Cricetulus griseus: one gene and its partner. The protein of the gene in region 1 purifies or fractionates together with the protein of each later gene. This does not show direct contact. Links are inferred from orthologs where the notes say so. Each region holds a gene or a part of one and is shown in the gene's direction. Other genes may lie near its edges. The genes, in order: Pold3 and Sprtn.

The links.
Region 2: the proteins of Pold3 (region 1) and Sprtn purify together in Homo sapiens (affinity purification with mass spectrometry; 3 studies listed by BioGRID, with this or other methods). This does not show direct contact. The link is inferred for Cricetulus griseus from reciprocal best matches to the Homo sapiens genes POLD3 and SPRTN.

What each region holds. Positions count from the first base shown.
Region 1 is NC_048596.1:99,420,636-99,425,223, forward strand, and holds the start of Pold3 (DNA polymerase delta subunit 3), read left to right. Parts: upstream 1-1,779; 5' UTR 1,780-1,873; coding exon 1,874-1,933; intron 1,934-2,075; exon of another isoform or gene 2,076-2,298; intron 2,299-2,351; exon of another isoform or gene 2,352-2,484; intron 2,485-2,658; coding exon 2,659-2,714; intron 2,715-4,588. UniProt on the Homo sapiens protein: Accessory component of both the DNA polymerase delta complex and the DNA polymerase zeta complex.
Region 2 is NC_048596.1:201,642,698-201,647,213, forward strand, and holds the start of Sprtn (sprT-like domain-containing protein Spartan), read left to right. Parts: upstream 1-1,453; 5' UTR 1,454-1,759; coding exon 1,760-1,980; intron 1,981-1,988; exon of another isoform or gene 1,989-2,464; intron 2,465-2,657; coding exon 2,658-2,757; intron 2,758-3,690; coding exon 3,691-3,819; intron 3,820-4,516. Other genes in the region: Exoc8 (exocyst complex component 8), read right to left, coding at 1-1,237. UniProt on the Homo sapiens protein: DNA-dependent metalloendopeptidase that mediates the proteolytic cleavage of covalent DNA-protein cross-links (DPCs) during DNA synthesis, thereby playing a key role in maintaining genomic integrity.

The sequences.
Region 1 (4,588 bases):
TTGTATTGCAGCTAACTCTTGAAGTTATTACTTCCATCTTATGATGAATAAACAGACTCCCAGCAGCTAAATAACTTACCAAAGAGCACAAAATAACAGAACCAGAATTCAAGACCAGTCAGCTTACCTCCACAACCTCTCTTCATTCCTTCCTCCCTCCCTTCCTTTCTTCCTTTCTTCTTTTCTCTTTCAAGACAGGGTTTTTCTGTGTATTCCTGGCTGTCCTAGAGCTCACTCTGTAGACTAAGCTGGCCTTGAACTCACAAAGATCTGCTTGCTTTTGCCTCCCAAGTGCTGGCATTAGAGGTGTGCACCACCACTACCCAGCTCACAGTCTATTTCTTATCCACTATGCTACAGGATTGAACTACAATGGCTGGGGGCTATTATTAAGGAAGGTGTGTGTGTGTGTGTGTGTGTGTGTGTGTGTGTGTGTGTGTGTGTGTATTGTTGGCAAAAACTTAAGTAGAAATTTTCTAATCTAATGATGTTTTCCTAGGAATAAAGATGGTGTGCCCCATTACACAGCTTAGTAGGCACAGCAGGACCTGGCTCCTCCAAAGTCCTTTCTCCCCATTGGCCTTTTCTCCCAATACTTGAGTAGCTAGAGCAATCTGAGAGAGTCTTTCTCCCCAGACCCCTCCGGAAAACCTTCACCATTCTCTTATTTTGGAAGGATTTTTTTTTTTTGGTGTTTTGAGACAGGGTTTCTCTGTATTGCTTTGGAGGATGTCCTAGAACTCGCTCTATAGACCAGGCTGTCTTTGAACTCACAGAGATCCTCCTGCCTCTGCCTCCCAGGTGCTGGGATTAAAGGCGTGGGCCACCAACGCCTGGCTTGTAAGGATTTTAACAGGCACACTGTCACTATTTCTCACTGCTAGAGAAACACTTAGAACAGAACATCCATTTAATCTTTGTTGTTGAATAAAGGTATCAAATGGCAAGGATGGGGTATCACATTTTACCTCATTGTCGATGCAAAAAGCACAGCTCTCATCTTAAAGGGAATGAGTGATAGTTTATTCTGGAGCTATTTTGAGTGACCATGGCCTGGGTACCCCAAACTCCATGTTCCAATGTGGGAACACTTTCATGAAGTTTTATAATTCTACAGAGCAATGAAAGCCACAAATCAAGGCAAGTTTAAAATACATTCAGAGAGGCAGGTATGTCAATATGGGGGAAGCTTTCCTATAGGATCAAGATGCTATCTGATGACAATTCTTAGCTTTTAGATTGGTGGAAGCTAGTGGTCTGCTAACTTAACCGATTCGAAAAGGTTTCCATCCATTAAGTCACAAGGTGATAATTCCGATTCCGAAGTGGGTAAGAAAGGGCTGTTCCAGAGGGCTAGAACTAGGCCAAGATAAGGTAATTAGTCTCTGGACCTGCAACATTCCAATCTCTCCAAATTACAGAAATGCTGATCAGCCAAGCAGTCTCTGCAGACATGGCTTCTTTTCAAGCGTTTAGTTCACACCACCACCCAGGCTAGGAAAGTGAGCTACCATTGAGTTCCAGTGCTAGACAACAAGAGGTATTTTTCTCACGTTCCAAGCGGAAAAACTCTTGCTTAGAGCGGTAAAACAAACGGTCCTGGGTCAGTCAGTATACCAGTGACAAAGGAGAGATTGGAAAGTTCCCTGGTGCACACAGACAACCAAGCTCGCACCTTTCACTTCCGTCCTACATCCAGTTTCCCTTACGTCACTCCCTTCCGGACTCGCAGTGGTTTGGCCCTCGTCCGCCGCCGTAGCGCGTCGCCTCGGTTGCCGTGGGAGACGACCCGCGACCTGGGAGTGAGCGAATCCGTTTCCCGCCGGCGGGAGCTGTGGCTGTGGTTGAGCCAAGGGCTCGGAGCTGCACCACCATGGCGGAACAGCTGTATCTGGAAAACATAGACGAGTTCGTCACGGACCAGAACAAGATCGTGAGGAACTAGGACTAGGGGGCAGGCGTGTTCGGGGCGGATGTGAGGGGTCCTGGGCCTGCCAGGGCGCCGGGGGTCTCGACCCCGGCGCTTGTGGCTTCCTGGGGACAGGTCGAGGGGGGCACAGGTCACCGCGACGCACCCTCGGGTGGGAGACAGTCCCTGCGGGCAGAGCCTCCCGCGTGCTCTCAAGTTCGCGGGCCTTGGGCGGACGTGTGGGTCTCTGGGGCGTGGAGCAAGGGAAGCAGGCAAGAGTTCGTGAGGCCCCCCTCCCCCATGTCCTGTCGGGTGGTGGGCCCCTCAAGCGGCCCACCCTCAAGCGGTTGAGGAGACCCGACGTCCTATCTGGGCTACTGACTGGTGGTTTACCCTCCAGACACAGTTTCCTCTTCCTGGAAATTTAAATATTGAAAGCATTCAGCATGACCCGCCTCTCTGGGCTGGTGTAACGATGGAGACAGATCTGGAAGTGAAGCAACTTTGTCACAGTGAGCCCATGGACACTGTTTGGTACCGGGTGTAGATTCTTTTGCATCGATCAGTCTGTATTTGTAAGATTAGTATCTTGGTCTTACTTGTCACATAGATGGTTTTTCTAACTGATATCTATTGTAGTTTACAGGACATAATCATACAAGAATAAGAATCTTTGGGAGTAGGCTCTTGGCACTTATCTGTACTCTGTAATCATCTAATAAAACCTTAAAAAATGTTTCCTCTTTCAGGTGACTTACAAGTGGTTAAGCTATACACTAGGAGTTCATGTTAACCAGGCAAAACAGTAAGTCCAGTTTATGCTAATTTTAATGATGCTTTTTTTTCACCTTGTTTTTAAATGCTCAGAGAGCTCTTAGGTTAGATCAGACTTTCCCCCCCTTGGGTTAGTAGAGAATATTATTTTCACTGCTTCTTTCTTTTGGTGTGTGTGTATGTATGTATGTATGTATGTATGTATGTATGCTTGCACAGAGGTCACAGAACACGTGGGATGGTCAGGATGATTTGGGGCTCCTTTCCTCCCTTTCCAACTAGTTTGGATGGGATCTCTTGTTATTCTCTGCTGTGTACACCAGACTGGCCTTCAAGCTTGTGAGGTTTCTTCTGTCTGCCTCCCTCTCACCACACCACAGCTATGCTATCTTATCCAGCTTTGTTGTGGTTTGTGGATCTGAACTCAGGTCCTTATGCTGGCGTGGCAACCACTTGACTAGCTTTGCTGTTCCCCCAGCCCTGTTTTTCTCTCTTTTAGATCAGTGGACTTGCTGTTTTGTTTTGTTTTGTTTTGTTTTTCCCTCCAGACTTGGTTAACATCACTTTGTATAGTGATTTGAATGAGAATGCTTCCCCCATAGGCTCATATGTTTACATTCCCAGTTTGTGGCACTGTTTGGGGGATGGTCTGTTTTGTGCTTATGCTTGCCTTTGAAGATAGGAACTCTCAACTTCCTTCTCAACCTCCCTGGCCTCTCCCACACCTCCTTTCACGATGGACTCTTAACTCTCAGGAACTGTACTCCCAAATAAACTCTTTATTCTATCTATTGTTTTTGTCATGGTCTTTTATCACAGCAACAGAAAAGTAATATTACACTTCCGTTATTTCGGTTTTATTAAATGGGTTCACCAATCCTGTTTATAGCTCAGATTTATGTGTTTGTTGTTGTAGATCTTCATGTTTCCACATGTGTTTATTAGGCCTAACTTTGACCCATATTTTCATAATGGTTTCTGTTTCTGTGATAAATACTGACTAAAACCAATGTGGGGAGGAAAGGGTTTGTCTTACAAGACAGGAACTGAAGCAGAGACCATGAAGGAGCCCAGCTTACTTACTGGCTTGCTCTCTTTGGCTTGTTCAGCTACCTTATACAACTGAGGACCATCTGCCCACTGTGGGCTGGGCTCTCCTACATCAATTAACAATTAAGAGATTGCCCCACAGACATGCCCACAGGCCCATTCAATGGAGGCAGTTCCTCAGTTCAGGTTCCCCATTCCTGAGTGTACCAGAGGCCAACGTGTGTTTGACATTAGCTGTCTGATAGTATAGTGTGAGAACTGGAGCCAATGAGATGGCTTGAGTGGGCAAAGGTGCTTGCTGTTGAGCCTGATGGCCTGAGTTAAGTTTTGGGGACTTACACATCAGAAAGAGAGACAGACTGTCACAGGTGGTCTTCTAATCTCCACCGGTGACTGTTGCACACACACACACACACACACACACACACACACACACACACACACACACAAATTAATTACAATTTAAAAAAATATGAGAGTATTTGCCGGGCAGTGGTGGTGCATACCTTTAATCCCAGCAGAGGCAGGCAGATCTCTCTGAGTTTGAGACCAGCCCGGTCTATAAGAGCTAGTTCCAGAACATGCTCCAAAGCTACATAGAGAAACCCTGTCTTGAAAAACTTAATAATAATAATAATAAAAGATATGTGAGTATTTAAGTGAAAGTAAAGAGCGTGCTTAGGATGCCAGAGCACTGCCTTCTTGCATTCTGCCACATCTTTCTGTTGTTGTTGTTGTTAAAACAGATCTGACTTGAGGCCAAAAAAGAAAAGACAACTTTGAAATCAATGCTAGAATGTTTTGATATGCAAAGGTACAGAATGTTGTCTAAATCCCAAGAGGAAGAATGGGTTA
Region 2 (4,516 bases), about 100 Mb from region 1:
TCAGCTGAGACACTGCCCTGCGAGTAGCTTTAGGGCCACCTCTCAGAGAACGATCCGGGGAGAGCTCAAACACCAGCACCTCGGTGAGCTGTCGCACTCGTTCATCCACTTTGGCCCTCAGTTCTTTCACAGGAGGTGGGCTGGGCTTATCTTCCAGGTAGTGATTCAATTTGTCCAGCAAGTCCACTGCGCCCTCAAAGTCCCTCTGCGCAATACAGACATCCAGGTCTTCGGGCAACTCCTGGATCCACTCCATGGAGAGGTCTACCTTTTCCTCCTCCACCTCGGGGGTGGCCAGCTCTTCCTCATCCTCATCCTCAAAGGGGTTGCTGCCCTTGGAAGTCACTGGTGGTGGCGCACGAGGGGCCGCTGCCTCCTCCTGCTCCCTCCTCCTCTTGTCACTGAGCGCCCTCTTGGTTTCCTCCAGCACTTCCAGCCACTCGCGTTTAATCTTGGCATTTTCTGCCTGAAAGATGCGGCTCTCGGGGAACATGAGAAGCTTGAACATGTCTTTCATCGGTGGGTTGTCCTTGACGTTGACCACCGCCAGGCGGTCCAGCGGGTAAAGAGCGTTATAGCGGTACATGCCTCGCCGCTGTGGCAGCCAGGTAGCCACCAGCAGACAATCGTTCATGAGGAAGCCGTGCACGCGCTGCAGCTGGGCCATGTGGTCCGCCTCGTACTCCACCAGGTCCCCGTTGTACACCAGGTACTGGCCTGGCGTGTCCAGCAGGTCCCTGCAGCCCTCTACCTTCTCCAGCAGCGTGGTGAGCGTGCGTTGCTTGCCCTCCTCGCCCATACCAGGGCCCTCGCGGGGGACGCCCGTCGACCCGGGCAAGAAGCCTGCCTGGGCCGCCCCGCGCTCCCGCGGCCCCGCGCCCGCCGTGTCCTCACCCGTGGAGGCTCCCGCGGCGGCGGCGGGCAGCAGTGCCAGCGGAATGCTCTCTAGACTGCTCTTCTGCTCTGTCAGCAGGTGGCTCAGCTGATACATTTCGCTCTCCAGGTACGAGATCTCGCGCGCCGTCTCGATGAACTGCCGGTAGTTTTGATAGACGTTGCGCTTCAGGTTCTGTGCCGTCTCCTCCGCCAGCGCCTGCACCCGCTGTCGGTGTTCCTGCAGGTCGCGGTCGCCGTCCGACTGTTGCGACAGCTGCTTCACGTACAGCCGCGCCTCGAAGCCCCCAGACTCCAGCTGCCTTCGCAGGCGGCTCGCCCCGCTGTCGGACATGGCTGACATCCGTCCTCCTCCCGCAGTTCGCGGTCGCTGTCACTCGCCGCCGTCCGGCCCCACCCGAGCCCGGCGGAGAAGACCGCTGAGGAAGCGGGGCGGGAGCAACACCCAAACGCCTGCGCCGGGGCTGAGCGCTGCATTGCGCCTGTGCTAGAGTCGAGACTCTCCTACTGCGCCTGCGCCAGGGGCGGAGTGCCGACGGCGCGCCTGCGCGAAAAGCGGCAGCGACTTACGGCGCGTGCGCGGACCAGCCAGTACGGAAGTCAAGAGGCTCGGGCGCGGACCAGACTTGACGTGAGGTGCTGAACTTCAGGGGCGTTCAGGAGACAACCGGCTTCCTGGAGCCTTCCCTAGCCCGAGCCCCGCGTTCCTAAGCCTGTGCCCGCGGGGCGGCTCAGAGCCACTTTCGGTTAGGCATTCGAGGCGAGCCCTCGCGCACTTGACAGCCGGGCCCGGAGCTCTCGCGAGACCAGTGCGCTGCGCGAGCACCGCCGGCGTCTTCGGAGTAGCTTGGGCGGGAGTGGCGCGATGGACGAGGATCTGGTGGTTGCGCTGCGACTGCAGGAGGAGTGGGACGTGCAGGTGGCACGGCGCGCGGCGGCGCGGGAGTCCGTGTCGTTGGTGGATGCGTCCTGGGAGCTGGTGGACCCCACCCCGGACCTGCAGGCGCTCTTCTTGCAGTTTAACGACCGCTTCTTTTGGGGTCAGCTAGAGGCGGTGGAAGTGAAGTGGAGTGTGCGCATGACACTGTGAGTGCGCCCACGAACGGCTCGGAACGTAGGGAAGGGCGAGGCCGCTGAGTTGTCGTTGGTGTCCCCGCCTCGCGGTGGAGGGAAAGGTCACTGGAGACGTGCCTATATTCCAGAGTGGGCCGGGCCTAACGGCCCTCAGTGATGTACCAACAGGATTCCTTTTCTACCCATTGAATTTGAGAAATCCCATTCGAAATAGTAATCTGCCCTTCACTTACACCGTCACATAGAAAGAAAGCAGCCTGCAGTAAAGCAGGGCGAGATGTAGTATGTAGCGTCCGTCTAACTTCACACCAACCCTATGACCCTTTTGGAGAAGTATCCGGGCAGACGTGGGCGCTAAACCATTCCCTGCTGATGAATGCCTGTGTGGAGCAGAGTGGGTGAGGGTGAGCAAGCGTTACTGCCTGCATTCCAAGTGTCCCACTCAGGAAAGCCGTATCCCATCAGGGACTCTTTCCTCTGAACTGCACTAGAACCGGTAAGGATTTGCTCATGTTTTTTGTTTTGTTTTTGAGACAGGGCTTCACTGAGTATCCCTGGCTGGCCCGGAATTCAGAGATCTGACTGCCTCTGCCTCCATAGTGCTCCCCCACGACAGGCTAGGATTTTACTTTTTGATCCGTCTCCACTGTTCTTGGTGAATCTAATCCACTGTTGTGACTGCTTTCCAGGTGTGCTGGGATTTGCACCTATGAAGGAAGAGGAGGAATGTGCTCCATCCGTCTCAGTGAACCTCTTCTAAAACTGAGACCAAGAAAGGACCTTGTAGAGGTATTCTTTCCATAACCCTAGTTCTCAGCTCAGTGATTTGCAGGAATTTTTTTTTTTTTTTTTTTTTTTTTTGTTTTTTGAGACAGGGCTTCTCTGTGCAGCCCTGGGTCTCCTAGAACTCTGTCTGTAGACCAGACTGGCCTCTTGAGCTCACAAAGATCCACCCGTCTTGCCTCCTAAGTGCTGGGATTGAAGGTGTGTTCCACCACTGCCCAGGCCTTTTTAAAAAATTAAAGACAGGATCTTGATAGTAGTCCAGGCTGGCTTCAACCTCAAGATCCTCTTGCCTCAGCTCTGAGGGTTGGGTTTTTACAGCTGTGCACTACCATTCCTGGCCAGGACATTTTATTGAGTTTTAAGAGACAGTCTGTTTGCCAGGTTGGCCCTGGTCTTATATGATTCTCTTGCTTCAGCTTCCTCAGTGAGCTGGCATGCATGAACCCAGCTGTTTTTAGGGGGGTAGAGTCTGGTGCTGCCAAACTGGTCTCAAACTCCTGATCCTTCTGCCTCCACCTTGAGTGCTGGGATCACAGGTGTGTGTCATGCCCAGCATATACTTAGCTTTGTGCCCATTTAGACCTGGGCTATTCGCTCTTTTGGTGTTGGCATCACGAGCCCCGTATGTTCAAATTTCAGAGCTTGTGATACGTGTTGCAGAGTTGTCAGAATTATCTTTTGACTTTGCTTGCGGTGGGTTTCTCTACCAGAACTTTAAAGTTTTTATGTGGTTGGATTCATATTGAGTTGGTAGATAAATAGGGCTTTTTTGAGCAATTGTAATTCCTCGAAGGGAGTTTGTCTTACTGGGATCTGCAGAGGTTGAAATAGTATATGCAACGTTTTGTGTACTTGGGCCTACAGACCCCAAGTTAAGAAAGCGTTTTCATCTTCAGACATGCCCTAGAAAATTAATTTTCTGGTTTTCTGTTTCAGACTCTTTTGCATGAAATGATACATGCCTACTTATTTGTCACTAATAATGATAAAGACCGGGAAGGACATGGCCCAGAGTTCTGTAAACATATGCATCGAATCAACCAACTGACAGGAGCCAACATAACGGTACACTAAGCTACACATGTTTTGGGAGCAAGGGCAAAACAGTAAACCAGACTGTCCTCAAACTTGCAAATTCTAACTCAGCCTCCTAAGTACTGAGCTTATAGGTTTGTGCCACCAAGCCCAGCAGCCATTCAAAGTTATACTTAGATTCATTCAGTAAAAGTGAAGATTTTTCAGCCTTGAATAAGAATCCTACAGAAATGAATGGACTTGTCTAGGCGCTAGAGGTAGAGTAGCTACAGAGCCAGCAGTCCTTTTCCTTGAGGCCTCCAACAACTCCAGATCAGCATTTGAGGCATGCTCCTTTGGTTCTGCATTACACTTTTCTGGACCTTCAGGAGGAGCTTCTCACACATGTGTGACAGTCCCTTATCAGAAGTTCTTTGAGTCCTGACAGTGCAGTATTGGAGGAGATATCACAGCCAAGGCTGAGGTATGCCCTCCCTACGCTGGTGATCATGCTTGTACCACTGAACTCTTCTGGAACTGTCTGTTACCATGCGAGTGACGTGACAACACTTCCTGTTTTTTGAGACCTTGAGAGCAAGGACATACAGTGTATTAGCACAGCTTGAGACTGGGAATTTTCTGGTTTTCTATAGTAAGGATCTGGCTGTTCAGCCCTTTAACGCTATGGTTTTTAGGAATTTACACTTTAAGGAAACCTGTATGCTTGCTTCTGAGAGATAAATTCCTC